Linked DNA regions of Lonchura striata. The protein of the gene in region 4 binds, or shares a complex with, the protein of the main gene of each other region. Links are inferred from orthologs where the notes say so. Each region holds a gene or a part of one and is shown on either strand. Other genes may lie near its edges. The genes, in order: RBL2, LIN52, E2F4 and MYBL1.

Region 1 (7,336 bases), on a different chromosome or scaffold from region 4:
TTCCCACCCTTCCCCCACAAAACAAGTCCTAAATCTTGTGGCTAAAACCTAATTTATATCAGATTTATGAAATAAAGTATTTTCCTATTATGGTCAAGTAAGTTTGGTTACTGTTCTAGTGATTCTTTCTATGTAATAAGGCAATTACAGTTTCAAGTAATGAAAGCTGGTGTAGACTTGAACATAATTATATTTGGGTTATTTTTCATCAGTTTGATCCAGAGGGGGGAAAAAAGTGTCCCACTATCAGCTAAACTATATGCAAATACGGTTGTATAAAGTTAAGGGTTATAAGGAAACCTCAGTAGAATTACACTAATACTGGAGTTAAAATTAAAAGGATATCCAAGGTGATGATAAAGTGTGTGTTGGTAGTTACTAAAAAAACCTTAGCTGTTATTGCCTTGTATTTCTATCCCTTGTTTCAGGCTTCATGATCCAAGTCTTAGTCCAGGTTTTTTTTGGACATTTGCAATATTTGCCAGTTGTGTTCTGTGTAGTCTGAATTTGCTTTCTGTAGTTGAACAAGCGTCTTAAAAAGTCATTTGTAATTTATTGAATTACTTTCTATGATGTTCTATAGAGCAAATGGAAGTTTAATTATTTTTTATTAAACATATTCTTTGACTACCCGTGATGTCAGCCTCCGTATGTGAAAGTAATGCTGTGAAAGGATTAAACATGGATCTTCCAGCAGCAAAACTCAAGTTTCAGTGCTAAGTTTTAAAACTGAAATTATTCTTAAGACCTTAAAAAAAACCCTGCAAACAAGCCAAGGACATAACACACCTACTGCCCAAGACCATGGTTTACTCTTGTATATTTTTCCTGGGAATCAATTGCCCCTAATTTTCTTATCTTACAATCAAACCAGCTGTTACTCCCACTCTTCAGTACTTATGGTTAGAAAAGAATGTTCAGTCTAGGTTCTGGTCCAAAAGTTACCTTAATTTTAAATAAGCATGTTGGCAGTGAAGTAAGTACCTTTTCAGTCTTTTTTTTTCAGAAAAAAACTTTGCATTACTTTCCACATTTTCATTAAAGCTTTTAATTATGTACACAGCACTTAACTATTGCATGTATTTCACACAGGGCACAGACATTGCTCCTGAACCCAAGGTGTCTCCTGCCACCTGGCATTGCATTAGAATGATTCAATCGTATCCTTATTTATTTCAGTCTGAATTTTATCTTCATATCCTGATCATCTTTTTCGAGCTTCTGCAGATGTGTACACAGGTGTTAGAAGTTGACATATACATGAGCTCCGTTCTCAACTTCTCTTTTTTCCATGGAAGTCATGCAAAATCTCCAATAGTATTTTTTAAAATTAGTTTTAGAATCCAGTCCTCTTGGTCTGTAAATTAAAATATAAAGATCTGTTTTTCAATGGAAATATGGAAATATGTTTTCAATTGAAGTATTCCCAAGATGCTCTAGGCACTATAGTAGTGGTTAGTTTCTGGCACTCCTTTGAAATTTTTCCAAGCAGTATGTGGGGTATGATTAGATAAGACTCTTAACAAGGTGTCCAGGGAAAAGTCCTGTCCTGTATGTTTTATTCTGTGTCCAACAAAATTATTTGTGCCATGTTATCTAGTAATAAATTTTTCATGGATTGCTCAGTGTGACCATTCATTAAAATGAAGGTTTGAGGAAGGTCTAATGCAAGTTGTAGCAAGATGAAATGTGCCTGGTGTTCAGGGTTAATATAAAGGGGGCTGCACAATAGTGTTACATTAACTTATTTGTGATTTGCAAGTTACTAACAGTTTTATAGGCAGTTTCTGATTTAGTTTTATTACACATAGAATTACCTTCCACATGAGCAAGGCTGTTTCAGTGCAATGTGGGATTTACACTGCTGTAGTTGACCAACATTTAAAATTTTATATCTCTGTGTTGTTGGGACCTTGGGCTGGTGGTGTTGTCTGTAGAGCAGACTAATTGTACTGTGTAGCCACAGTTTACAAAATAACTGTCCTGGCTTATCTGAATGTCCCTAATGTTACACAAACAGGCAGTATAATTTCTTTGTTAACATTTAGAGGAAAAGGAAATAAAGATAACAGCTTTCCAAGTTCTTTTTATGATGTTTTTTTATTGAATGCTGCCTCCTTTCAGGTTCTTTCATGCAAGGAAGGAAGGAAGGTGTAGTGCCCAAGATCCTTCATGAAGTTAAACTGGAAAATGAGGACTTGTTTGCTCTGCCTCCTGTGTGTTTCCAGTATGAAGGAGACCTGACAGTGCACTGGTGTTCCAGGTAAGGTCTCCTGAATTAAAGGAAGGCTGGTTTGGGAAATTCTTGGGATCCTAATAACAAATACAGTGTCATCATCTAGAGAGATGAGAGCATTTTCCTTAGTGTTCACCAAAACTGGTAACAGTCCTCACACTGTTTTCTGCTCTCAGACGACAAAAGCATTTGATTTGGGGACTACCATGTCAGGTCCTGTCCTTGACAGTGTTTGAGCTGCGTGCAGCAGCTCAAAGCAGGGAGCAAGACATGTTCATGGGGAAGATTTCTGAGTCTACAGCACAGTAAAAAATGTATGCTGCCAAGGGGTAGCCAAGCAGCTGTGACGGACTCGCGCTGAGAGGGTGTTTGTGGCTGTTACTTGTCATACTGGTAGGTCTAACATCTAGCAATAGTCAAAATCATTAAAATAATTAACATGCCATATGAGGGTAACTTTATTATTCATGCATCCTTTTAATGGGGGAGGAGCGGGAGGGAAAGAAGGGAGAAGTGGAGAAATAAGTGATGCTAAGTCCTCAGGGATAAAAAAGTATGTTTCTTGTCTGAGTTTTCAGTACACCATTAAATAAAAACTTCAAAAAAAAAAGTTTTCTACACAAGAGCAGTCAAACCATTTATTTATGAAGTCTGAATGCATGAAACCATAGGGAAGTACACAGGTGTAATCACTGCATAATAAACTTCACTTTGATCCTTTAACCTTTTAACTCTTTAGGTATTTCAATATTGTGAGGGTTTGTTCCTCCTTTTTTTATATGAAGGATTTTTAAAGAGTAGATGAATTATTTCTCAGTAGAAATTAAATGCTGTAATAAGTTATTGTTGCTTTGTATTTTAGTAGATACTGTAAATATAGCTAAACAGAAAAGCCTTACATAATTTATATAGTCTTATGGGTGGCAGAGAGCTTCCCATCAATGCTGTGCATAACTCAGAGCAGGAACTTGGCCTGATGGCAAAGTTCATAGCTCCTCTGTGTTAAAACAAAAAGTAAGATGAAATACAATCTAATCACTCCTTTTTAAAGTTGTAAGTTGTTCTGGTAGTCTAGGGGCTGCAGGTTTGGGGGGAACCCTGCTGGCATCACCATCTTCCAGTGCCAGCTTGGGCTTTCTGCAGTTCTCATTGCTGGGTACCAGTGTGTATTTGTGTCCTGAATCACATCTCAGGTCAGTCAAATATTCTTAACATTTCTTTTTTTTTTTTTTTTCCCTGAAGCTTTCAACGTTCGTGAAATACCAGTAATACAAAATCAAGCCAACAGTCAATAAATGTCTTTTAATCAAGTGCAGCCTGTTTTACTGGTCACTTCATTGACACGTACCTGCTTTAGGAGTTTAACCTTACTTTTGGCAGCCTCCTTTCTGCTCGGCTGGCACCTGACCAGGGGAGCTATTTCTGTCTTTCCTCCCCCTCACTGCCTGTGTACAGCCTGTACCTCGCTCTGTGTGAGCGTACAGCCTGTACCGTGTTCGTATTTGTGTGTGTATTGTGTACAGCCCGTACCCCGCACTCTGTGTACGTATTTGTGTATATATTTGTGTACAGCCCGTACCCCGCACTCTGTGTACATATTTGTGTGTCTGTCTGTGTGCAGCCCGTACCCCGCACTGTGTGCACATATTCGTGTATATTCGTGCGTGTGTTTGTGTCTATTCGTGTACAGCCGCAGCCGGCCCGGCCGCTCTCCGCCCGTTCCGGGCTCCCCTCACGGCCCCGGCCCCGCCCCGCCCGGGGCTCGCGCGCCGGGCGCGCTCCCGATCCGCGCCGCGCGCGCGTCTCGCGGTGCGTGCTAGGAGCGCGCGCCGTGCGCCTGCGCGCGGGCGGGGCGGGCTGTTGCCCCGCGGGCCAATGAGCGGGCGCGGCGCGCGGCGGGGGCGGGGCCCGTCCCCCGGTGTTTGGATTCGAACGCGCGGGGCGGCGGCGCAGGCGCGGAGCTGCCCCCCAGCGGCGGGGCGCGGCATGGCGGGCGAGGAGGCGGCCGGGGCCGAGCCGGGTCCCGCGGGGGCCGCGGCCGCCGCCCCGTCCCCGCCGGGCGAGGACGGCGAGACCCGGCAGCGCTACGAGGAGCTCTGCAGGAACCTCAACATGGACGAGCGCGCCCGCGCCGAGGCCTGGCTGAGCTACCAGAGCATGAGGCGCAACTACACCCTGGAGGTGAGGGAGGGGTGGCGGGGCCGGGGGGAGCGCGGCGGGACGCGCGGGGGAGGTGCGGAGGGGAGGGACGGCGGCGGGGGCGCGGCGGCCTCTCCCTCGCACCGCCCGGGCGGCCGGGAGTGACCATCGCCACTGGGAGTCATAGCGGCGGAAAGGTGTTAAAAATGGAAGAGCCCCCGCCACTGCGGTCCCTCGGCTCTCCGCAGCTCGGCCGGGCAGCGGCGCGGCGGCCTCGGCCGGCGCGGGGCCCGCGGGGATGCCAGCGCAGGTGCGATCACATTTGTCACTTATTTCTGGGGGCTTGCGCGGCCGCGGCACGGCCCGGGCCGGGCGGGTGGAGGGTGGAAGGTGAAGGGTTGGTCGCGTCGTTCTGGAAAACAGGAACACGCGGTGACGCGCCCGGGAGCTTTTATCGGTGCCTTCCCACAGCAAAGGTGGCGCCTGTGATAACCGCGCTGCCCCGCGCTGCCCCCGCGCTTCCCCCGCGCTTCCCCCGCGCTGCCCCGCGCTGCCCCCGCGCTTCCCCGCGCTGCCCCCGCGCTTCCCCGCGCTGCCCCGCGCTGGCCCGCGCTGCCCCCGCGCTGCCCCGCGCTTCCCCCGCGCTTCCCCCGCGCTGCCCCGCGCTGCCCCGCGCTGCCCCCGCGCTTCCCCGCGCTGTCCCGCGCTGTCCCGCGCTTTCCCCGCGCTTCCCCCGCGCTTCCCCCGCGCTTCCCCCGCGCTGCCCCGCGCTTCCCCCGCGCTTCCCCCGCGCTTCCCCCGCGCTTCCCCCGCGCTGCCCCCGCGCTGCCCCGCGCTGTCCCCGCGCTGCTCCGCGCTGCCCCGCGCTGCCCCGCGCTGCCCCCGCGCTGCCCCCGCGGCTCTCGGGCAGAGCTCCGCGCCGGGCTCGGGGCTGCGGGAGGAGGAGCGGCTCCGGCCGCGCCGCTGTCCCGTCGCGGGCGGGCGGCGGTGCTCGGGATCGAGCCTTGCCTCGCACACCCCCAGGTGGGCGCTCAGCCGGGCCCCTGGCACCGCGGAGCCCGACAGAACCAACAACCGCAGCATCGAATTCCGTTTGGCCCCTTCTTTCTTCCCGTTCCTTTTTCCACTGAGGTGTTACTCATTGCTCAAAGACGAAGAATAAAATTTCAAGTGCTCATTAGAAATAACTTCTTTCTTTGGGTACCGGATTGAATAATTGTTCTGCTGTTTAATACAGAGCGAAATGGAAGCAATGTTTTTCTTTTCCTGCTGTCTCTTCAGGGCAGAAGGATGTTTTGGTTGCAAGAACTATAGTAGTTTCTCTTTTTCTCTTTTTTTTTTTTTTTTCTTTTTCTTTTAAATCCAAGCAGTACAAAATGCTGTAGATGAACACTAAAAATATATTTTCATATACTGAAAATATATTGGATATTTTGAGTCAAATGTAAATGTTATAATGGCAACTAGTAGTTTTGATGCAGTTCAGTGTTCAGTGTCTATTTAGCACCTGTTTTGTTGCAGTTAAAAACCCAAAGCGCAACAGAAGTTTGAAACAGCAAATCTACTTTCTCACTGGTTGAACTTCATCTGTTTGGGACAGTGCTTTTCCCTGCTGCTGGGGTAGCTGAAAAAGCATGTTTTTGTTTTCAGTGCAGTTTTTTAGATGCCTGATGTTTTGATTCACAGGGAAATGACATGCATTGGCTGGCTTGTGCCTTGTATGTGGCTTGCAGGAAAGCAATTCCAACTGTGAGCAGGGGAACAGCGGAAGGAAATTATGTGTCCTTAACCAGAATCCTGCGCTGTTCAGACCAAAGGTAACTTTTATTCTTGCTGATTTTTAGACACTTAAAAAATCACAAAGAGTGCTTATCACCTTGTGAAATTGGAAATCGAGAATAAAAGCTAAATGTGTTTCTTGTTTCCTGTTTTTGAAGTCTGTGTAGAGTCTATATCCCCAGAATGTTTGTGTTATAGCCCACTGCCAAAGAAGTAGGGCAGTACTATGTTCATGAAAACGCTGGTTTTCAAAATGAGAGATTTACTTCCTTCACTCAAAGGAGCAAGAAGCCAGACACTGAAAAACCATGAATTTTGGGAGTGTGCAAATTGTGAACTTTTCACATGAGAAACCATTTGTAGTTCATTGTGAAAATGTTCACAAGCTTTATCTCTGTTTTTGCATAAGACTTCACTTTTCACATGGTTTTGGTAAAATCATTAAATGAGGTCAGAATCTGACAAACAATTTTGTGTCAGATGCTTATGTCTATAAAGTAATAAATAAAAGCTTCTGAAATAATTGACTTTATTAGAAATCTCGTTGTTTTCTAAAAATTCCATAGATTCTCACAAAAAAAAGAATGTTCTTACGTACTTCTTAGCCGGTTTCCTCTACTGTTGAAGCATTGCTGTTGATTAAACAATGCAAAAGCTTTCCTCTATAAGCTTTTATTTTCCAAATCAGAAATTCAGGGAACTGAATGTTGATAAATTGGTTCCGTGATCTGGACTATCAAGACTAATAACACTGATAAAGAAGATGAAGATAAAGAAGCTGTAAAGGAATTAAAGCCAAATTTGCAAAGTGCAATTTTCTAAAACTTAAGAGGTTTCTCATACTTTGTAGAATATTCTTAGCATTGTAGATCTCATAGGTTGATTTATTTAAATTAATAAATTATTCAGAAAAACAAGGCAAATCTGATTTCAAATTAATCTAACTGTTGGAATTGATTTTGGCTTTGTGAGAAGATGCCAGACCTGTGAGTACATAGTTAATGGGGTTATCAGCCAAGGATCTAAAAATATTTCACGAGCTGTCTGAGCTCATCCATGTTTATGGGTGAAGGACTGGCTCCGAGTTCATTGTCATGTTTGCAGAGCCACCATTTCATCAGTAGTTCGGGCAGTAAAAATTGCACTTTTGTTGAAAATGTAGGGTTTAATTCTGCATGAAAA
Region 2 (7,008 bases), on a different chromosome or scaffold from region 4:
TTTGAATTTGACTCAGTTTTACACTGTTATACTTTAACTTCTACTCCAAATGCTTCACACAGTCTTAACAGATATTAGCACTGAAAGTAAAATAAACTCAAAGTAGGTTAAAACAAGCTTAATGATTTGTTATTAAGAATGCATTAGGCTATCCTATGTCTGCAGTCAGAAAGACTCTAAAGGTTTATTACTAAGTTGTAGTACCCACTAAAAGCAAGGTGAAAGACTTGAAACTTTTGGTGCTTCATGTAGCCCAAGAGTAATTACAACCAGGGTCTAAACAGAAAAAAAAATGTGTTGGTATGTATGGGTAGTATTAAAACCAACTCCACAATATTCTTGATATCCTCAAAGCTATATCAACCTGTTAACAGGAGTCCTAAATGAGACAATGAAAGGAGCTCTTTTTTCAAAAAAACACAGAAAGAGTTGGCTGTTTGCAACTGGGATGAAAGTCATCTTTATTACTCAATGACATCACTGCCCACCACAACTGAGTGTAAAAAAAGTAACAGCTACAGAAGCAGAAAGCAGTATGAATACCAAAGTGACAGGAGAATCCTATACACAAATTTCCCTGTGGAGGCAGTGCATGAAATTTGAGAGAAGTACTGCCACAATTATTTTGAGAAATACCTTTAGAATTTGAGTGGGAAATTAAGCAAAGTGACCTGATTTATGTAACACAATGTTAACTCAGGAACAGAAGTCTCTGTGCCACTGGGTAACACCAGACACACATCTTCCCCCATGCAGGTAGGCTGTAAGTTGGAGATGTAAGTTCATTCTCTCATCCTGTTGCAGGAGGTCACTGTAAAACACTTGCCAAATCTGTCAACACACTTTTCCAGCTACCAATGTACAGGCACATGCTTTAGTGGAAAGATTTGGAATGCAGTCAGTCATATCTGTGTACAGCACTTACATTCATCCAGTCCCAGTTGATAAGCCAGGTTCTGCAGGCCACGAACTTTTTCCATCAGATTAGCTGTAGTAAGGCTCCCCAGCTCTTAAAAAGAGAGAAAAAGACGAATTTTAACCCTCTCTATAGTCCTCCAATAGCAGTTCACCTGTTTAGTACTTCACAGAGCACTTTCAAGCCTTAATTCTGTCAGGATCTGTTTCAGTGAACAGCGTACATTCAAAATTCAAGCTGACTCCACTCCTAATTTTAAAGTACGGAGAAAGGCAGCCATGACTCTAGTTCGTGATTTGATCTGCCACCATTGCAAAGAGTAATTTGACCTATACTTTAGAAGTTCCTCTAAGTTCACACTGCAACATGAACAAGCTATATAAAAGTAGCAAGGGAATGGACTTATTTTGCATTAATAACGTGAGTTCAAGCACATTTCTTGGAGTGAGTCAGAGTTAAATTGTCTCACTTTCACTCTGTAGCTGTGACATGTCACTGTGACACGATCACACACCATCATTCAGAATTCATGACAGGAAGAGCACGCTGAAGGATATTGACTGCAAACTAACAGCTGCACCATGAAGAAAGTGTACATGCTAGCTAATCCTGCTGTAACTTGCCTGTACAGCCTCACCGTTGCATTGGAGCTCCTGGATCTGTGAGGGAACACACACACGTAGAGCATCTCTGAACAAGTCAATCAACAAGTCTAAGCTACTCACCAACTGATCAGCTGAGCCCCTCCAAAAAATTAATGCTACTTCTCAAAATGCAGGAGATGCTCACTATACTTATATGGTGATAAAAAGGCTATGGGAGGTGACTGAAATATACACAATGTTACATTGCTTATCTTGAAAAATCAGCCTGCCACTGATATCTGGATAGGCTCTTGGAAATAACTGGTTTAATGAAAATGTCTATCATTAACAAGATGAAGAGACTTATGAGTTGGAGATTCTGCAAATATGATGGCTAGAGATCTCAGGCCATAAGGCCACCACCAAAACATTTAAAGAACAAGTGTTTTAAGCCTCTTAGTAACTACTGAATTCCCATCTGCTTTGGCAACCTTAATTCTTGCCCACAATATTCATACTCACCCTTCAACATATCAATATCATCATTTTCTAATTCAGCCATCCACTTGGGGGGAGAACTTGTAATGGGCTATTTTGAAAAAAATAGAAGTTCATATTCAGAAAAGTCCATTCTTAGAATTATACAATGAAGTACGATCTGTATTGAAAACTAGTTACAACAACAGCAAAAATGCGAGAGTGTGTGCCATAGAAATACCTTTATGTTTAATCTTGCTTTTTCCTGGACACTTTAGAGTTAAAAACGGCATGCCACCATTCACAAGCCAAAAAATCAGTATGAAAAATAGGATTTTCTGACGTTTAAAAGCCTTTACTGCTTTCAAAGTATAATTCTCATACACAGTGAACTACAGAAGGCATAAAAAGAAACACATATATAAAAGATACATTAAAACCAAAAGCTATATTGTAGCATATATTGGACTTATTGCTGAGATACGGTTCATAGAAGATGTAAAGCGCGCAAGAGAACCTGCCGATCTACTATTACACGGAAGGAAGAAACGCGAAAGGGAAAGGCAAAGCAGCGCTCACTCACGCTTTTGAAGGAGGCGGCGAACTCGGCAACCCCGGGCACTGGGGAGAGAAAGCGGAGGTTGGCACGGGGTGAGCGCTCCTGCGGGCGGCACCGCCACCCGCCCCGGCCCGTGCAGCTGCCCCAAGGAGGCCCGGCCCGGCCCGGCCCGTGCAGCTGCCCCAAGGAGGCCCGGCCCGGCTCGGCCCGGCCGGGCTCTCCCCACCCCACCCCGAGCTGTCAGACTCGGGGCCGCGGGCCCGCCGCACTTACGCTGCTCGGGCCACAGGTCCGGGGAGGCGCGGTCCAGCTTCTCGAAGCTCAGCAGCGAGGTCTCCAGGTCGGCGCCTGCAACAGAGAGGGGGTGAGGGCAGTGCGGGCGGGGAGCGGCGCGGGAGCGGCGGTGCCGCCCGGCCCTCCCGCCTCACCGTCCGCCGGAGCCGCCATGGCGCGCGCCTCACGTGACCGCGCCCGCGGCCGAGCCGCGCGGGAGCGGAAAGCAGGCCCCGCCCCCAGCCCCACGCGCCGCGCTCGCGGCCGCCGCAGGGCGGGGCCGGGCCGGGCCGGGCCGGGCCGTGACGCTCGGAGGGCGGCTCGGCCCCCTCCGCCAATCCGCGGCCCGGCACGGGGGGCGGGGGCCGTGGGGGCGCGGCCAGAGCGGCTGCTGGCGGCGATTGGCCGCGCGGGGGCGGGGCCGGGGCGGGGGCGCGGCCGGGGGCCTCGGAGCGGGGACCCTCGGCCGGGATGGCGGCGGCGGCGGCGGCGCGGGGAGCGTGGGGCGGGCGGCGCCGCGTGGCGCTCAGGGTGAGGCGGCCGGCCGGCCCCGGGCGGCTCCGGCGGCTCGGGGGGCGCAGGGGGGTCGAGGCTCACCTGACCCCGGGGCCCCGCGGGGGTCGGTTCCGGGCGGGAGCAGCCGGAGGGGGGTCGGGGGGAGGTGCTGCCTGACCCGCCCTGAGGTGGTCTGTGCTTGCCCCCGTCCAGCTGCCGCGGACAGCCGGTGCCCCCTGGACCACCTCAGTCGCCGCGTCCTTCTCTTCCTCGGTGGTGAGTGCCCGTCCCGCGGAGCGGAGCCGGTGGGCGGGGAGGGAGGCGCGGGAGAGCCCCGGGCGCCGCCGCCCGCCGGACACTGCCCTCGGCTCCGCTCCGCTGAGGCCGTTCCCGCCGGCTCGGCTGGACCCCGGCGGGTCCGGTGGAACAAACATCGGCTCTGCGCCCGCGCTCCACGGGAGGGACGGGAAAAAGTTCCATGTCCGATTTGTCGGACTGCGGAGCTGAGCGGTGGCCGCCCTCACCCCGCGGTACTCCTGGTGGCTCTGGACTGGCCTCATGCATCTATTTGCGACAGAGAGAGGATCTGGTTTCTTTCGGACAGTATCAAACAACTTTGGTTCTTGTACTGCCTTTTTTCCTCTGCTGTCCATGGCTGCACACTCTCTGAACTCCAAACCAGAATTCCACAAGTAGTCTGCTTTACTACCGTCCATGTTCCCACAGCAGGTGCATTCTCTACATAAAAAAAGGTGGCGATGTTATGGGAAAGGTGCAATTAATTTTAATTCACCATTTTCTGGCTTGCTTAAAGTATTTTTTGTTGCGTGTGCAATGTTTGAGATACCCTTTTTAATCAATTTGAAAAAGACATTAACTCCATTGCACTGAAGTCTATGTGGGTCATAAAGCATTGGCGCTTGTGGTTGTACTGCATTAGCCTCGGTGGCACTGAGGCTAATGGAGTGATTGATAGCCATAGGAGTTTGTCATTCTTTAGACCAGCAGCTTTTCTCACAGTCAGGAAACTCGGTCAAGGGACTCGGATATCCTGTGCTTTCTTCCAGGTTCTAGAGGAGATTGTGTTTTTGTAGGCACAGATTTCTGCCTCTCTTCCCCAAGTGTGAGTCCAGCTACATAATCATCTGCAACATTTTAATTTTAATTCTCTTCTAGCATTGCTTTCCAAATCATTAAGTTTTGCTTGTCCATTAACAGACTTATTTTATACTTCTGATCCTAACTTTCTCATCTCAAAGCTTTCTCAGTTTGTCCAACTAACATTGCTGTTAATTTTTTTTCACTTTCATCCACTTTTCACTGTCATCACTTGTCCACCCTGTACCATTTATGTTCCTGATTCTTACTCTGATCTCTGTCTCTTCATTACACTTTGGATATCATCCAAGTTCTCATCTCCCTTTCATAATTCCATATCATAATTTCTTCATTTTCATGATATATTTGGGTTTATATCCTGGTTCTGTTGATCTGTCCCATTTGTGTTATTCATACAGAAGATCCATTTCCCCTTTCTCTTACATGTTCTCCCCAAGTCATGGATTTGTGTCATGATTAACTGGTTCTTGCTTTCTTCTAATTCTCTCCTTACCTCCCAATGTCAACTCCTCTTTTATAGTTTCTTAATTTATACAGTCACAATTTGTTTTCCTGCATGGTATAGTTTTGTTGCCTATCTAATGCTAATTACAGCTTTTACCTCTGCCTTCTGTTCTGTTCTATGTTTGCCTGAACTCCTTATTCCAAACTTTCCTTGTCCCTCCTCTTCATCTGAGTGGGAAAGTTTTGTTTTCTGTGCTGCCAGCCAGGACAGTCCACAGATACAGGTTTCTTACTCTTAGTTGCAAGACCAAGCAGGGGGTGGGGAAAGTCCAATTTTCTGCTTGAAGCTATAAACTGGAAAGATGAACCTGCTTAGTGGCTTGATGGGAAGGAGGCACATGGGACAGTGGTACAGTCTGCACTGGGTTCACAGAATTCCCATGAAGTGAATTATTAACTGTTTCTTCTGAACATTTATGAGTTGCAGTTTTTCAGGTTTTGATTAAATAGATTGAAACAATCCCAAACATAAGCAGAGCAATGTATTTTTTTCTATAACTGCTTTTAGAAAGAATTTTGGCTATTTAGGTGTAAAGAGAGCAAAATGGGGCAGAGAGCAATTATCTGGGTCTTGCTGTGAAGACTGGATACAGACTTTAGTGGTTCACATAGCAGTAAATGATAAAGGCTTGCATGTAATATGGCACATTGGCATTTAGGCATGTTGAGACAAAAATAACTCACTTTTCAGTGTTTTGACCTCCACAGCCAACAACCAAACTCTTCATTGATGGGAAGTTTATTGAGTCCAAAACTACTGAATGGATTGATATCCACAACCCAGTAAGTGAAATGCTCTCACCTTATGTAAATAGTGATCACTGTGAAACAAAGGTCTATGCCTCTTCAGGGATGTGGCAGATGAAAAACATACATTTCTTGAGAAAGGTTTAGACTCAGCAGACTACAGCTTCTCAGTTTCCTTTTCACATGAAATATCAGTTTCAGAATAAGTTACTATCACCCTTACCTCCCTCACATAGTAAGGCCCTGGTCTCCAGAAAGGAAGCTTAAATTTTGGTTATGTATTTTTTTGTATGTCAGATTTCTGAAGGGTGTCTTTCACTCTGTATATGAAATCAACTGGGTGTGATTTGATCCCAGCTGAATGTGAAATCCTGATAGAGGCTGATATTACTCTCAGAGTAAAAAGGTGAAAAATGCTAACAGCTGAAGCTCCTCTCCTTTCAGAGAGTTTCTATCTGTTGACGCACAATAATCACAGAGCTAGATGCTATGCAGTGCAAAATAGATAAGTAGCACTTGTGTTGTCTATGTACTCCACCAAAGACAAATGGAAATGAGGTTGCACTCAGAATTCTGATCCTCTGGCCTTCCTAGTAAGCCTTTAAAACAGCAGTTTCTAAATCTTTTCTGTACAGCTCTATTTTCATTTGCTTTGTGCAAATGATCAGAGCAGCAAGTAATGTTCATGAAGCTCATTTGGTCTATGTAGCAAGCAGTGCTCTTGTTTAATTTTCTTCCTCTTGTTTTGAGTAATTTCTGTCTTACTGATATATCTGAAATTTTTGTCATGTCAAAGCAGATTTAATTCTTAAGATAACATTAGAAGGAGGTTAAACTGGCACCAAGCTTGAAGTTAAAATACAATAGAATTAAGGTTGTATATAAATAGTACTTTGGCCTAGGGGTATAGGTAAGCTAATATCAATGGCAAATGTGCAGTCATGTACTGCTTTTCACAAAGGAATATTGCCTCATTTAATGTGCAAGAGGGACAGCCAGATGAACCAAGACGATGGAGAGGAAAAGACCATAGTCCATGGAAAATTTTTCCTTATACTGTCTAGAAGTTTCAAGATAGCCAAGTCACTTCAACTCCAGCTTGGAAATCAGCACTGCATTTGTAGTTTTCTGAGTGCTTAGCTTGATATATTTGGAATGCAGGTTTTCAGAACTACTCCAGTTGTAGCCCAGGCCTTTTGTGTGCAATCAAGGAAGGCATTTCCTTTGTGCTGTGCCCTCAGAAGTACAACTTGTAGAACAAGAATATTAGGTGTGTGCTGTGAAAGAACTCTTGAATGGTTGGTGGGAACACATAGGAAAAGCTGAGTTTTGAT
Region 3 (7,329 bases), on a different chromosome or scaffold from region 4:
CACACTCTGAAGTGGTCTGCAGGTGAGGTCTGCAAGCTCTGTGCCCATCAGATCTGACATCCTGAGATAGTTAAGCCACAAGAGCAGCTCTGCACTAAATAAAGTGGCACCTGTGACTCAGAAAAAACCACTTTTCTCACTGTGGTAAACATTACTATGTTTTTACTTCCAAAAGCCAGAGGAGAAGCTGGATGCAGAGAAAAGCAGGTCTCCAGGCTGGACAGTTACCCTAATTTCAAACCAAGGTGCTGCCTTTTGATCCTTTCAGTGCAGCTTCTCCAGCAGCAACAGGCCAGCACCCACCAAGCTGTCATGTCTCTGCTTCCCAGCCCAGCAAGTGAACACGGAGACAGAGCCATCAGTTCACACAAAGGATATCGACTGTTCTGCATGTCTTCTGTAACATTTTTGATGCTCTGCTGAACCCACATCTTCTGCTGCTCCAGCTCCTGCTCCCGCTGCTCCAAGTCCTCAATGTCTGCCTTCAGCTCAATCAGTTTGTGAGCTATTTCACGTGTGTTGCAGCCAGGACCCACCCCCCTGGGTAAAACAAAAATGGGTGAGATATATCGGCCTCTGGAGGCACCCAGACCAACATCAATCTCTCTGCCAGCCTCTTATTCCCACCCGTGTCAAACACCAATGCCAGATTGCCTGGAAAGCTGTGTCTGTACCCACTCTAGACCCCCACTTCCCACCATAGCAATGTTTGGTACACCTTTCTACTTCCCACAGTCTCCCCCACCTCCAGTGCCATGACAGGTATCTTTCCTAGACCAAGGCAGTGCAAATATTTAGTTTGTACCAAAATAACACCTTTGCTGTAAGAGAGACACCATACGAACTTCAGCTTTCCTCACTGTGCCATCAGCACAGCACAGCTGGGGGAGGCAAGAGCATGGACCACTCAGGAACCTCCCTCTGCACACAGCATTTTAATCCCACTGTCACTTAAATCTGCATTAGAAGGGACCTGTGAATGATTTAGACCATCTCTACCACTCACTTCCACTGGATACTGTTCTTGGACTTCTTCTCAATCAACCCGATGCCTTCCAGGACATTCGTGATATCGTAGATCCGTCGCTTCTGTCGCACAGCCAAGGTATCTGCAGCCTGAAAAAGGTTAAGATACTTAATTCCAAACTCTCAGTCATGTTTAGCTCCTTCCTGCCTGGCAGATTAACTCCTGGCCAAATACTTTGCTCCCTGTTTCATACCTCTCCCATTCCAGCGTTTCACGTTACACAGCCATCTTCTTGATCTCACATGACCATGAGAAGAAGTCACTCATTCTTCTTTTTTTCTTACCCCATAGCCTCCCCACTAAACCCAAATCAAATTCCAGCACTCCTACTCACAGTGGATACAAAAATCACCATTCTCCAGTAGCAAAGCAGTGCTAGAATATAGTAGTTCAGCAGCCTAAAAATTTAGTGCTCCCTCGGGGTAGAGATGGAGATGGGAAGGGGAATGCTGAGAGCTGTCTGTGCAACACTTCAGTGAAATCAACATTCACAAGGTCTTTTCTAAAGCTGATCTGACACTACTTGATAAAGAATCAATATCTTTTCAAGAGATTCCTCTGTTTGAATGACATGACTCCAGGTGGAGAGTAACCATGAGCATGCCTGGGGCTTCCCTGCCTTGCTCAAATAACCCTTTTCCCTCAGGTTTCAGGACTCAAGGAATGGCACTGTTTCCACTACCACACGGCAACCTGGCACCAGCAAGAGTTAATGTGTGCACAGAAGGACCAACAATGTCAGTGGCAGTGCAGACACAGCAGGTCAGCACAGGAACTATGTCTCTGTCACCTACCAGTGACAGGCCAGGACCTCGGAGATCCTACACCATACAACTACATAAATCACACTGACTAACACGAATTCCCTTAATGGACATTTGAAGAAGAAAAATATTGTCAAATCAAATGAGAAAACAATTTGGCACAGGCATGGAGCCAGGAAACTCCTCCAGTCCATTACTGGGGCTTTCTGGCACTTGTCTGTCTCACACACGTGCCCACATAAGAGATGCTTATATAAACCACAGCAAAGGAACTTCCCCTACAGGAAAGGCCAGAGATTAAATACTATACATTGACAGTGTTACTTCCTCTAGGTGAAGATCTTAAAATGCAGAAGCAAGATGATTTCACACAACACTTCTCCACTGCCTAAAGGCATGGGGACAACCTCTGGCAGGTGACTCTGACCACCCTCCCCATCCTGGTGTGTGCCAGGAGGGTTAAGTGCTGTATGGACAGTTTCTATAGGTATGTGTTTCTGTAGATGTCTGAGGCTTTGGTGCCAGTGATCAAGTACGGGGCAAGAACGCATAAGAGAAGAAGGTGGTCAAACGTTTCTGCAACTGAAGCACACATACACCTCCAATGCATGGTCAAGTCCTGGCGAAAGAAGAGTCGCCGGGACAACCCGACGGGGTGGGGACAAGGGCTGGGAAGGAGGAGCAGGCGGGGGTGTAAGGTCGGCCAATGCAGAGCCCTCTGTGTACGGCCGGCAGCCCTGCCGCAGCCCCAGAACCCCGCTTTCCGCTCGCCTAGAAACAGCATCAGTACGGCTGGAAAAGCCCTCACGGCTCATCGATCCCAGCCCCTAAACCCCACCACTGAACCATGTTCCTAAGCACCGCACCCACAAACCTTTTGAGCGGGGACAGTGCCTCCACCGCTGCCCTGGGCAGCCCATTCCACCAGTGCCTCAGCACTCTTGCCGTGAAGAAATTTTTCCTGGAATCCAAACTAAACCACCTGCTGCACCGGGCGCTGCCATGCCCCCGTTCTCCCCCTGCAGACCTGCTCCAGCCGCCGGATGACCGGTCCCGCCGGAGCATCGCTCTCCCGGCGGCCGCTCCCTCCGAGCCCTCCCCCGGGGCGGCGGAGCCCTCCACCCCCCCGGCTGCCCCCGCACCAGCTTGAGGTCGAGCACGCCGTCCTTGGCCTCCTGCAGCAGCGACACGAACTTGGTGGTCAGCAGCCCCAGGCTCTTCTCGTGCCGGCTGGGCGCGCCCGCAGCCCCGCTGCCACCGCCGGCGGGCTGCGCCCCGCACTCCGCCATCTGCCCGCCGCCGCCGCCGGCTCCGGGGCCGCGCATCCGCTTCCGGGCCGCGGGGCTCCCCGGGAACCTCCGGGGCGGGGACGGCGGCGGGGCGGGGACCGGGGACTCCCCGCCGCCGCCTCCCGGGGCTCCGGAGCCGTTCCGCTCTGCTGCCGGTGTTCCGTCAGCCCCGTCGGTTTGGGGGTCCCCCGGGCAAAGCCAGGGGTGCGTCCATCCCCTCGCCGTTCTGCGGTGCCAAAGTCAAGCCCCACCCTGTGGTAGCGAAGCCAAACCTCAGCCGTGTACTCGGCTCTCACCGCCCGGGTGTCAGGGCCGGTTTGCTGCTCCAGCACACCCAGCGCCGGGGGAATCCTCCAGCCTGTGCCCGGGGAAGGCAGCCTGTGGCAGGGACACATCTGCAGGTCCATCTGCAGCCATGGAGGGTGCATCCCCGCGTTCTCGCCTCCGGGTCAGGCTGGCACAGCACACCCTTCATGGTGATCCACCCTCGAGTGGGCTCGCACTGTGGATGGGCTGGGGTCTGGGACCCCGCTGGCCTCCCCGAGCCAGGGTGGGTGCGAGAGAACAGTGCTGCGGGCACGGACAGGGCTGAGTGTCCGGAGAACAGGGGGTGCCGGTGTGGGTGGACAGGACGAGAGGAAATGGCCTCAAGTTGAGTCAGGAGAGGGCTAGATTGGATATTAGGGGAAATTTCTTCATTAAAGGATGGTCAGGCACTGTAAAATGTTGCCTGGGGCAGTGGTGAAGTCACCATCCCCGGACACGTTAAAAAGCCGTGTGGATGTATCACTTAGGATATGGTTTAGTGGTGGGCTTGGCAGTTACCGGTTGGTACTCGATGATTTTAGAGGGCTTTTCCGATCTAAACGATCCTTTGATTCCGTGACTTGTATTCCCCAGACCTCCGGCTGTCGCCGTGCCTTCCCGTGTCCCCCCTCCCCTCCGCCCCCCGTTCCTGACGTCCTGAGCGCGGCTGCGGGAACACAATGAGGCCCTGAGGAGCGCGGCTGCTCCGGCTGAGGAAACGGCAGCCGGCTTCCTCCGCAGCCCTGCCCTGGCCCCGCAGCTCCGCGCAGCCTGGACACCATGGGCATGTCTGCGGAGGACGAGCGCGCCGCCAGCCCCAGAGGTAACGCGCATGATGCTCCCCGGGAGCCGGCGAGCTGGGCAGGGAAGGGATGCTGCTGCTTTGCAGCACGTTTTGGGGATTCCCCTGCTCTTTGCCTCACCACCCCCTCCACCCTCCTGGATCTTTTCCCTGTGCCGTGGCTGGTGCTTTGTTGTCCTTGCGGGGTGGCAGCCTGGCTGTGCTTCCTGATGGCGATACCTGCGCGGGGGCAGTTCTGCTCACCGCTCATCTTATCCTCAAAGCTGCTGTCCTCCTCCCTAATCCCCTGGTCCCAAGGCTGCCAGCGGCTCCCCAGCAGAGCAGGAGCCTGGCTTGGCACGGGGTGATAGCCCCGCGGAGCTGCAGGGAGTGGCTGGGGATGGGGTGGCGTGGGGGAATGATGAAACCAGGCATGAGGGGACTGGGAATGGTGTGTGATAACTGTGCTGGTTCTCAGACCTCCACTGTGGCCAGGAGCTCTTTGGCATGGCTTTGGACCCTGTGTCAAGGGGGACACAGCTGCATGGGTGCTTTGGGGAGACCAGGAGTCTCCAATCCTCACTTTAGCCTGGCTCTCCTTCCTGCGAGAACTGCTGTGTCCCCATCCCTCCTGCTGACTCACTGCTGGAGTCTCAACCCTGCTGACAGCTGCCCAAGTGGCATCAAACCCCCTCAGACAACCCAGCATTTTGTTTTGGGGAGTAGCCGGGATGTACACTCAGCCTGGGGACAATCTGAGCTGGCAGGCTGAGTCACAGCACCCCAGGACAGCTTTATTTCTTGCTGCCACAGCTGCTATGACAACCCCGGGCCGTGGTGGTGGCATCTTAGGGGGCCCTTGTGGAAGGACCCTCTTGGGGACACGCTGCCCAGCTTCCCACGTCGGTGTGTGCTTGGAAGTCCACTAGCGGCGAGCTTCCTGCCTCTGGCCTCAGGGGCCCTTCCTGCCCCACTTGGTTGTGCTCACTGACCCCTGGCTTCGTCCCCAGACGAGGAGTGGCCGGAAGCGGAGAAGGCTGAGAAGCTGGCGAGAGGAGCTGCTCTGAAATGGGCTTCAGGGGTGTTTTACCGCCCCGAGAAACTGGAGGGGCTCGGGCATTACCGGAGGCGAGAGACGCAGAGGAACAACTCCATCCAGTCCCGGCTGAAGGTGTGTGTTTGCCCATCCCGCGGACACTTGCAGCCACACCCCCTCTTCAGGCAGGGACCCCAGCCAGGTCCCCTCTTGCGCCATCAATTCTCTGTATGTCCTCTTTTGACAAAATCTTTTCCTTTGGCTGGCGTTTGGTGGGTGAAGTGTAATTGTTGGGGAGAGAAGACCCCCTTCACCCTCTGCCTTACCCCCAGGCAGTGTCTGAAGTTTTAAAAGGAGTCTTCTGTGTCTCTGACAATGCGGCAAAATAAAACACCAAGGGGGCTCAGCACATTCCATGTGCAGGACTCAGTGCACCCCATCACTGCCCCGTCCCAGCCCCAAAGGCTGCCCTGCCCCACAGCTGGGAGGAAGCACAGAGCTCCAACCTGTCCCTGCCTGTGCATCTCCACAGGGAAAACTCCATCTCTCCACATTTGTAAGGGTTGTCCCAGTCCCCCTGCACACTTGCCTCCTCACCCACATCCTCTTTTGCATGACCCAAGGAATCAGTCTGAGCACCACAACTTTCTCCTAATAATTTTAGAAATGGTTTCTCCTATCCTGACTCTGGATGAATTGTCTGGGAGGCCTCCGTGAAAGCAACTTTTCCTGGTGATTCTTGGCATCAGGAGCAGGGAGTTAAATGAGTGGATAGGGCACGGAGATGTGCCAGTGCAGGGCTGGAAACGATGGCACTCCATTTGGGAGGAGGGTTTATATGGCCACTGAGGTCCTTCATACCTTGGGGGCACATAGGGACCCTATGACCCACTGCTCTTTTGCAGAAGCAAAGTAATCTTTTAAAACTGAGAGAGGCATCTGCTTGCTGTTTACCATGGGCCTTGTGGGGCTGGGAGAGTGCCTGCAACACATATTGTACAGGGCTGGGACAAGTGGTGTGGAGTCCTCCTGCCTTCTGGAGCTGCTCCACTGCCCTCCATCCTTTTCTGCTCCCCAGTCAACTGTCCAGTCCTACCTGGAGGGGGTAAGTGCAGGGCTGGAGCAGCTGCGGTCGGCGGCCCAGGAGGTGCAGGGCGTGTGCCAGGACCTGGGGGCTGCACGGTGGGCCCTGCTTGACAGCGCAGACAACTTCCAGGGCCTCCAGCAGATGAGGAAGCTGATGGAGGAACATGTGCAGCTGGCCTCGGTGGTCCAGGTGCTGCCCCAGATCTTCTCGGGTAAGGCACTGGCCCAATCCTGGTCAATTTGGGCTGAAAAGCACTGGGGGAAACCTCAGTGCAACCACAGGCTCTGTGCAGGGCTGGTGGTAAAGCAGGTCATTCAGGCTTTGCCAGCTGGGTGAATGGAGATATCCCTGCTTCCCCAGGGCCTGATCCAATGGTGTTCCCAGAGCCCCAGACCTTTCCCCTCACCATCTCCTTGATAACCTGCATCTATGTCCCTGGTGCAAACCCCTTCATCTCCACACTCAGTGCTGGCATCTCTCCTCCCTCTCCCACAGTCCACGAGGTTTTTTCCCATATCCTGCAGCTGCTCCATGGGCAGCATCTCTTGGAGGCCCACGTGGAACTCATGATGGTAGAGCAACTCCGGGATGACATCCTCTCCCAGCTGCACCTCCGCGGGCTCTCCGATGCCCAGGCAACTGTGCTGTCCTACTTCAGTGGCCTGCAGGACCTCAACGAGAGCCTGGCCAAGCAGCTGTGGGACATTGTGGGCAGCAGCCTGCAGCTGGTGCGCGAGGACCCCGTTCTCTTTGTCACTGCTGTGAGGATCATCGAGCGGGAGGAGAAAATAGATGATACTCTGCTCTTGGAGGCCACCTTCCTTCCCCCTGGCCGCCCAAAGGGCTGGAGGCAGAAGTTCTACCAGGTCCTCCAGGACACCATCACAGGAGCCCGTTTCCATGCTCCCCGCATGGATGCTGAGGGGCCAGGGCTGGCCAAGCACCTGGCAGCGCTGCAAAAGGACATCGTGTCTGAGCTGCGTGTGGTGAAGGACCTGATGGTCCAGTGTGTCCCAGCCCACTACAACATCCTCAGCCT
Region 4 (7,569 bases):
TTCTGAGCCCATTCAGATACACTAGATTATTTTGGTATTTTTGTGATATGGTAGCCTTTAAGCTTTTTGTTTCTACTCTTCCTTACTCTAGCATGAATACTGTCAATTGGCTGCCTGAATTCACAATGAGCTTCCAAAGCATAGGAGCAAAGAATTACAAACTTCTGCATGTGACTTCCAAGTTTTTCTATCATTTCCTTGTGACAGTAGGCAGTGGGATCATGACTGGTATTTTTTATTCACTAAAGGTTTTATCATAGAACTCTTACCAAACTGGAGCAGTAAAAAACAGTATACATATAGACTTAATATATGGCCTTATAGTGTGGTACCTTCATACCACTGCAGCTTGGTGACATTTTTTGAAGCATCAGTGTTTTATGGGAAGGAATCTGTTTCCTAACAGGAACAATCTGGTGTTAGTTAAGGCCATAATGAATGCCTAATAGAAGTTTTATCCCTGCAGATTAGCAGGAAACTAAACAAGAAGGAATAAATAATGGAACAAATGGTAGGACCATCACTGTGTCTTCCAGAGCACTTTGTCCTCTGAGTCATCTGGGTAAGAGCAAGAGTCCCCTGTCTTTGGAAATATGTTGTCCACTGCCATTAGTACTTGGGCAACCCTACAAAACCCAAGCAAGATCCAAATGCCAACAGCTGATTCAAGTGTTGTTTGGTTTTGATTTGTCAGGAGACCCAAATAACAGTTCTAAGGTAATGCTAAAGTGTCAAAAAATGCCACTGGAAGTATGTCACTGTGACTCAAGGTCTATGACCTATGATTTGCCTCTTCCAGACACCCTGAACTTGCAGCAATGTCTTTGCACCTGATCATGTTCTTTGGTTCTAGGCGGAACTGGGCTCTCCTTTGTCACAAGGGAGTCTCGGGAAGGGCAAACCAAGGCAGAAAGAAGTTCTTGCACAATGGGACTCAGATATTGCTAGCTGGTGAGTGTCCTGGGTCTGGGGGCTTGTGAGCCATGACAGCTCAGATGAGATGGGAGGGGATAGTCCATATCCTGCTACAGAGACATGGTCTGTTTGTGCCTTCTTTCTTATAGGCTCTATGAAGAGAGTAGTAAGCCTTTGGCTTGGTTTTGTGAAGTGCTAGAAGCTAGAAGAAGAGACAGAGAGAGGGGAATGCATCTCCATACTTTTTTTTTAGCATGTAGGAGCAAAAGAAATTCCAAACATTAGACCTTGTTACACAGGACAGTAACAGGATAAAATAAAAAAAAAGAAGTGAGGCGTGTATATGCTTACTGGTGTACTCCAAGGAGAATGTTTACTGGATGTCATAACAAACTACATCTTTAGGCTAAGGAATCTTTTAACAACAGGACCATCAGTACTTATTATTTTAGCAATTTGCTTCAGCTAATGCTTTCAGGATCTGTTTCCTGCAAATTAGGAACACATGTGTTACTATGGGAATATACAAAAAGGCACCTATTTAGACAATAATATTTTTATTTCAGGCTCCTTTCACTGTGAATTAAATATAAATGAATACTAAAAGATGCCATTTCATACTGTATAAGGCTGATGACACAAATCCTGTCTCAGGATGGTTTTTATTACTTTTTCATTACAGCTTTTGTAGTTCAAAGACTCCTGTCAGAGCTTTGATGTGGGGAAACCTGCTGCGTTGTCATCTCTGGATACTAAAAGTGCATCACAGGGAATGTAGGTTGGTGCTGAATACCTATTAGCAAAGACTACAAATAAAATCCTCAAGGATTTACTTTTCTTTGTAAAAGATGCAACGATACTAGTTCTCCCTTGTATCATGGGTTTGCGGAGCGGGTGAAGGTGGGTTTTTGGTGGTGTTTTGGTGGGTTTTTGGTGGTGTTTTGGTGGGTTTTTGGTGGTGTTTTGGTGGGTTTTTGGTGGTGTTTTGGTGGGTTTTTGGCGGTGTTTTGGTGGGTTTTTGCCCTCCCGTGCCGTGGGGGTTGTGCCGCCACCTGTAGTTCCCGCGTGCCCGCGCAGGGGGCGCTGCGAGCCCGGCGTTCCAGCGACTGGCACCGGGAACATCCACGGGGCTGCGGGGACGCACCGGGAACATCCCCGGGGCTGCGGGGACGCACCGGGAACATCCACGGGGCTGCGGGGACGCACCGGGAACATCCACGGGGCTGCGGGGACGCACCGGGAACATCCACGGGGCTGCGGGGACGCACCGGGAACAGCCCAGACGCTGCGGGGACGCACCGGGAACATCCACGGGGCTGTGGGGATGCATAGACTCCACACACGGCTTAGTTTATTCAGATAACTTCTGTGTATTCCATCCGGGAGGACAGCAGGCTGCCCATGAGCCAGCCGTGTGCCGTGGTGCCCAAGAAGGCCAGTGGTACCCTGGGGAGCATTAGGAAGAGCTCTGCCAGGAGGTGGAGGGAGGTGATGCTGTCCCTCTACACATCTGGAGTGCTGTGTGCAGTTCTGGGCTCTTCAGGACGAGAGAGACAAGGAGTTTCTGCAGCAGGTCCAGCGGAGGGCTGCAAAGATGTTTAAGGGAGTGGAGCACCTCTCTTTAAATACAATTTAAAGCATAACTGGAACAGCTCATGTAGTGACAGGACAAAGGAGAATGGATTCAAACTAAAAGATAATAGGTTTAGATTAGATATTAGGTAAAAAAAATGACCACCAATTACTGAGGGTGGTAAGGCACTGGAGAAGTTGTGGATGCCCCATCCCTGAAAGCATTCCAGGCCAAGTTAGATGGAGCTTTGAGCAACCTGGTCCAGTGGAAGGTGTCCCTGCCCATTGCATGGAGGCTGGAACTAGATGATCTTTAAGGTCCCTTCCAATCCTAATTGTTCTATAGTTCCAGCTAAAGTCTCGTGTAGGAAAATACCTGGAACACACAGAGGTTCTGCTGGAATATAGCTTTTACTTCACGATGGTGATAGCTTCAGGAGGTCATTGCACAGCCACCGAGGATGCGATGTGTTTCTACCAGAAAGGAAGCTGTAGCCAGGTGGGGTTCAGCTTCCTCCAGGCAACTAGTGACAGGATGACAGCGCTTAGTCTTAGGCTGTGCCAGGGGAAGTTTAGGTTAGACATTAGGAATTTCTTCACGGAAAGGGTGACTAAACGTTGAAATGGGCTGCCCTGAGACGTAGCCCGTGGAGGTTTTCAAGGAAGGACTGGATTTGGCACTCAGTGCCACAGTTAGTTGACGGTGGTGTTGTCATGCGTTGCACTCGATGATCTTGAGAGGTCTTTTCAAACCTGATTCTATTTGGGGATGGCCTCTTCCCAACAGACCCGTGCCGTGGCTGGAGCAGGAGCTCCGTAAGAGCGCTGGCTGGCTGATGGATGAGACCCCCGCTTCCCGCTCCTCCAGCACGCGAGCAAGGATAAAACATCGGTTTTTCGGCAAGGGAGGGAAGCGGGAAGCGCTGCCCTCGTCCGCCGGGACAGCTCGCCCCGGCGCGGGAGCGTGAGAAGCGGAGAGCGCCGCGCCCGCTGCGCTGACCGACCCGCCGGCGGCGGGGCCAGGGTGCGGGAGGCGCCGCTGGGCGGCAGGGCCGCTCGCAGTTCCGTGTGTCCGTCCGGAGAGCGTCTCCATGCTCCAGCTGCTCTCGGGGAGGGAATTCCAGCTACAACACGCGTCACCCGCGGCACCCGGAAAACAGGATTTATACCGAGGAGCGGGAGGGCCGGCCAGCTCCCTTCGATAGCTCAGCTGGTAGAGCGGAGGACTGTAGAGGCGCGGCCCGCGGGAATCCTTAGGTCGCTGGTTCGATTCCGGCTCGAAGGAGGCGCTCGGTTTTGCCGCGCGGGGGCGGCCCCGCCGTTACTTTCTCACTCTTTTGCCGTCGGGAGCCGCCGCCGTTGCCGCCGGCGCGGGGCGGCTCGCGGGCGCTCGCGGCGGGGCGTTGCGGGGCCGCCCCGCTCCCCCCGCCCCGGCCCCGTCACGCCGCCCGCCCGCCGGCGCGAGGCCCCGCCCCTCCCGCCCGGCGCGCGGAGCCGCGTGCGGTCGGCGGCGGCCAATGGGGCGTCAGTCCGCCTGCGCAGATTCAAACGGCGGCTCGCGGGGGGGAGGCTGCGCGCGAGATTCGGGCGGCACCAGCCGAGCGCGCCGCGAGCGCCGGCGGCTGAGCCCGAGCGGCGGCGGCCGGTGCGCGGCGGGGGCCGGGAGGGCACAGGGCAGGGCGGCGGAGCAGAGCGGCCCGGGCGCGGAGGGAAGGAGCGCGGCGGGCGCCGCCGGAGCCCGCGGCAGCTCTGACAGCATCGGAGAGCGAGGCGCAGTAGGGGCGAGAACGGGGCCGCTGCGCGCCCCGACCTTGCGGGCAGCGGCCGGGCCGAGCCATGCCTGACGCGCCGGGGCCGGGCCGGGGCTGAAGGCGGCCGCCGGGGCGCTGCGGGCACCGCGGGGAGCAGCGGGCCCTGGGAGGATCCCTGCCCGGCTGGAGGCATTCTGAGCCGCCGGTGCCCCGCTACGTCCCTGCCCTGCTGTGAGAGAGGGAGCCCGGGCGCCTCGGGGGCTCCGTGCTGCGCCCCGCGGCCGCGGCGGCCCCCCTATGGTGCGCGCCGAGGATGGCGGAGAGACGGCGCAGGTGAGTGCGGGACCGAGCGCTCTGCGCTTTCTGCCCCCATCCCCTCCCGGGCAGTGCTGCCGTCCACGCCGCCGTGCCGAACCCAGGTGCTCCCCCCGCCCCGGGATCCCGGCCAGGGGCTCCCCCCGCGCCCCGGGATCCCGGCCAGGTGCCGCCCCGCCCCTCACCGCTGCTCCCGGCCTCCTTCCACCGCCCCGCTCTCGGCTGTCACTGCCCAGCTCCCTCCGCCCTCCGGCCCCCTCGCAGGTATCTCTTCTCTCGGGTGCAAATCCCGCCTTTCCCCTGGCAGCTGCTCTCGCTTCTGTGCTTTCGCTCAGGTTGTTTTTTTTTGTAACTCACCTGAGCAACTGAGCTTGTCAGTAACAACTACGCTGTCTCCGCAGTAGCTTTCCGTGCTGGTTATTTTTCTTTTGGTGGAGTAACACTTCTTCCCTTTCACTTCACAATTCTCTTTGGCACAGCCTTGATGTAAGGTTTGGGCCTGTTGATTCTTTCAATATGTTCAATGCACTTACTTTTTCTCAGCTGATACAGTCACAATCTAGCCTGAAATGTTCCTGAGAGATAAAGTTTTGCACAAGAGCTCCAGCAGCTGCCCTAGATAGCTTTCATACATCTTTTGTTATATTGATATGAAAATGGGCGTGTCTTTGCTTTGTATGCAGAAGGTGGGTCTTGGAGAACTGTTTTGTCTCTATGGTTATTCTTGTCTTAAATCAGTTTGTGGAAAGTTATAAAGAAATGTAAGAGAAGGATTAGGATTGAGAAAGGAAAGGATACTTGGTGTGTTATCTATGGCATCTGGGGTTTGTTGTGAATGCATACTTTTTATGGAATTAAGGGTGGTTTCAAAGTTATACGTATTAGAATTGCTTCTGCATTTTCCTCTGACGTGAAAAAAAATATAAGAGAATACTTTTCTGCAAAATGACAACTAAAACAAGAAAGCAATGCTTTGGTGTTCACAGACTACTGAAGCTGTCTGTGCTTGGCTGTCTCCAAGATAGCTCAGAGGCAGCATGTTTCTTGGCACTCCTAATCAGCATTCTGTAGTTTAAGGGACTTTTTTCACCTGTGGTATTACACACAGTAGTTTCATTTTTGTCAAGCTTTAGATTGTATTATCTCCCATGGCTGTGGAGTGCTTTGATTTCATGATTGAAAGTACAGTGGGTTGTGGATAGCAGAGGAAGGTTTGGTTAGAGATTGGTAGCCCGAGGCGGATGTTGTGTTGGTGTCTGATGATGGTATCTCCAAAACTATATCACTGAAGCTATGAGTTTTCATGAAAGTGACTTCAAGACTTTTAGTCTAGGTGTGGAGTAAGGAGAAACTGTAATTGTTTTGCACCAAATGGTATTAAGTTTAACCTTACATTAATTTAAACTGCTCTTTTGTTGCATTTACAAGTTTGATTTTTTTCTTTTAATGGTCCTCAACTCAGAATTGCATGGACAGCTAGCAAAGATCTCACAAAATATGTACCTCATTGTCCCAGATGATTGGATGAAGCTTGGTGGATGCCTTCCACTTCAGTGCAGTATTTTAGCAGTTTCATAACTGCAAAAGAATTGTCAAATGAACTATAACAACCCCATGTGTTTAAAAATCTTGCCTTTTTAATTGAAAACTGAAGTAGTAGTCCCACTCATTAATCAGGATTTGATTTATAGTCTATCATAGCACTAGTCTAAACAAGACTCAGGACTAAGTGGTTGTTCAGGTTCATTGAGGTGCAGGAGAGGTTAATGCCTGCTTGGCTGACGGAGGCACCAGTGGGACATGAGTGCACCCGGAGAACTCCCAGTGCAGGGCTCTGCACCGTGGCTACCTGTGGGGCCTCACCTGGTCTGGCACCGCTCTCAGCAGCGTCACCACTTTGTACGTGGGGCCCTTCTCTTCCTTTGAATCCCCCTGACTTTTCTCCTAGCTGGAGACTGCTCAGGACTAGTTTGCTGTGCAGTGGGTGAGGAGGTCGTGCTGACAGAGGGCTTTACAAGAAGGCCTGATTTTAGTTATAAGTGAACTGTATGGCCTGCCTGGTATGAAATGGTATTATGAGAACTATATTTTAGTATTGCAATCCTAAGATAGATCCCTGAAGTTTGTCAAATATCTGTGGACAAAAGAAAAAAGAGGCGTTGGTAGGGAGGCAGAAAAAACTGCTGCTTCTACGTTTAAGATCTGTTTTTCTAAGTCTTAAGCCACCTAATGCAAACCTCTTAAAACGTTTGCAGTTTTTTTTTTTGAAAGTATGATGAAGAACTTGCTGTTGACCTTCCCACAAGTTTGCTGTCTTAAGTAAGTCGGCAAAGTTTTAATTTGCTTATGTTTTACTGATGCATCATGAAGCTAAAGTTGGGCAAATGCAGGTGTGGTGTAGGATGTAGAAGCAAGTCTGCAGGACTTGGGCACTTACTATCCTGTGGTAATGCTTTTGAATAAAGTATGTCCTTGGTGGCTAACAGGAGCAGACTTAATGGTAAATAATGTGTAAGTGGTTAATCAGGGTGCTGATTGCATGTTCTAGGAAATAATGGAGAGATCGTCCATGGAATTGTTCTTGGGATGCCAGCACAGGTTAATTTCATTACTGGGGAAAGTTTTTTTTATACTTTCAACTGAAAAAGTATAGTTGTCAAGGGTGAGCAGAAATAATTTTTGTTTTGAACCTGAATTTATGATATTTTTATTGTGCTTTGTACCAATAATAAAACAGAGAAAAAAATTGCACTGTTAAACTGCTTTTAATTTAAGTGATATGTTTGGATTGGGAGTCTATTCTTTGTGCCTTTGGTGTAATTAATGGAGGGGCACTGCAGCTCTTGTTGTTAGGGTTAGGTTTCCACATGTGTTTGAATTTATGCTAGCATGAGTCGCTGACAGAAGTTTCAGGGACGATTCCATGAAAAATTCCCTGTGCCGACTGGAAGGCTTTGTTTCTGCAGGCAGTGGAGTTCCGCGTTTCCCCAGTAGATGGAGCGTGATCTACGCGGAG

The links.
Region 1: MYBL1 (region 4) and RBL2 share a complex: the UniProt entries of both Homo sapiens proteins name them as parts of the DREAM complex. The link is inferred for Lonchura striata from reciprocal best matches to the Homo sapiens genes MYBL1 and RBL2.
Region 2: MYBL1 (region 4) and LIN52 share a complex: the UniProt entries of both Homo sapiens proteins name them as parts of the DREAM complex. The link is inferred for Lonchura striata from reciprocal best matches to the Homo sapiens genes MYBL1 and LIN52.
Region 3: MYBL1 (region 4) and E2F4 share a complex: the UniProt entries of both Homo sapiens proteins name them as parts of the DREAM complex. The link is inferred for Lonchura striata from reciprocal best matches to the Homo sapiens genes MYBL1 and E2F4.

Annotation. Positions count from the first base shown.
Region 1 is NC_134615.1:12,862,180-12,869,515, forward strand, and holds the start of RBL2 (retinoblastoma-like protein 2), read left to right. Parts: upstream 1-4,222; coding exon 4,223-4,417; intron 4,418-6,061; coding exon 6,062-6,192; intron 6,193-7,336. UniProt on the Homo sapiens protein: Key regulator of entry into cell division. Directly involved in heterochromatin formation by maintaining overall chromatin structure and, in particular, that of constitutive heterochromatin by stabilizing histone methylation.
Region 2 is NC_134608.1:23,653,913-23,660,920, forward strand, and holds the start of LIN52 (protein lin-52 homolog), read right to left. Parts: upstream 3,059-7,008; 5' UTR 2,984-3,058; coding exon 2,965-2,983; intron 2,885-2,964; coding exon 2,810-2,884; intron 2,599-2,809; coding exon 2,561-2,598; intron 2,090-2,560; coding exon 2,023-2,089; intron 1,010-2,022; coding exon 926-1,009; intron 1-925. Other genes in the region: ALDH6A1 (methylmalonate-semialdehyde/malonate-semialdehyde dehydrogenase [acylating], mitochondrial), read left to right, coding at 3,281-3,340, 3,518-3,580, 5,636-5,710.
Region 3 is NC_134615.1:16,854,850-16,862,178, forward strand, and holds the start of E2F4 (transcription factor E2F4), read right to left. Parts: upstream 3,117-7,329; coding exon 2,934-3,116; intron 1,117-2,933; coding exon 1,007-1,116; intron 541-1,006; coding exon 377-540; intron 1-376. Other genes in the region: EXOC3L1 (exocyst complex component 3-like protein), read left to right, coding at 4,167-4,209, 5,178-5,338, 6,282-6,501, 6,786-7,329. UniProt on the Homo sapiens protein: Transcription activator that binds DNA cooperatively with DP proteins through the E2 recognition site, 5'-TTTC[CG]CGC-3' found in the promoter region of a number of genes whose products are involved in cell cycle regulation or in DNA replication.
Region 4 is NC_134603.1:35,032,872-35,040,440, forward strand, and holds the start of MYBL1 (myb-related protein A), read left to right. Parts: upstream 1-4,536; 5' UTR 4,537-4,551; coding exon 4,552-4,571; intron 4,572-7,569. UniProt on the Homo sapiens protein: Transcription factor that specifically recognizes the sequence 5'-YAAC[GT]G-3'.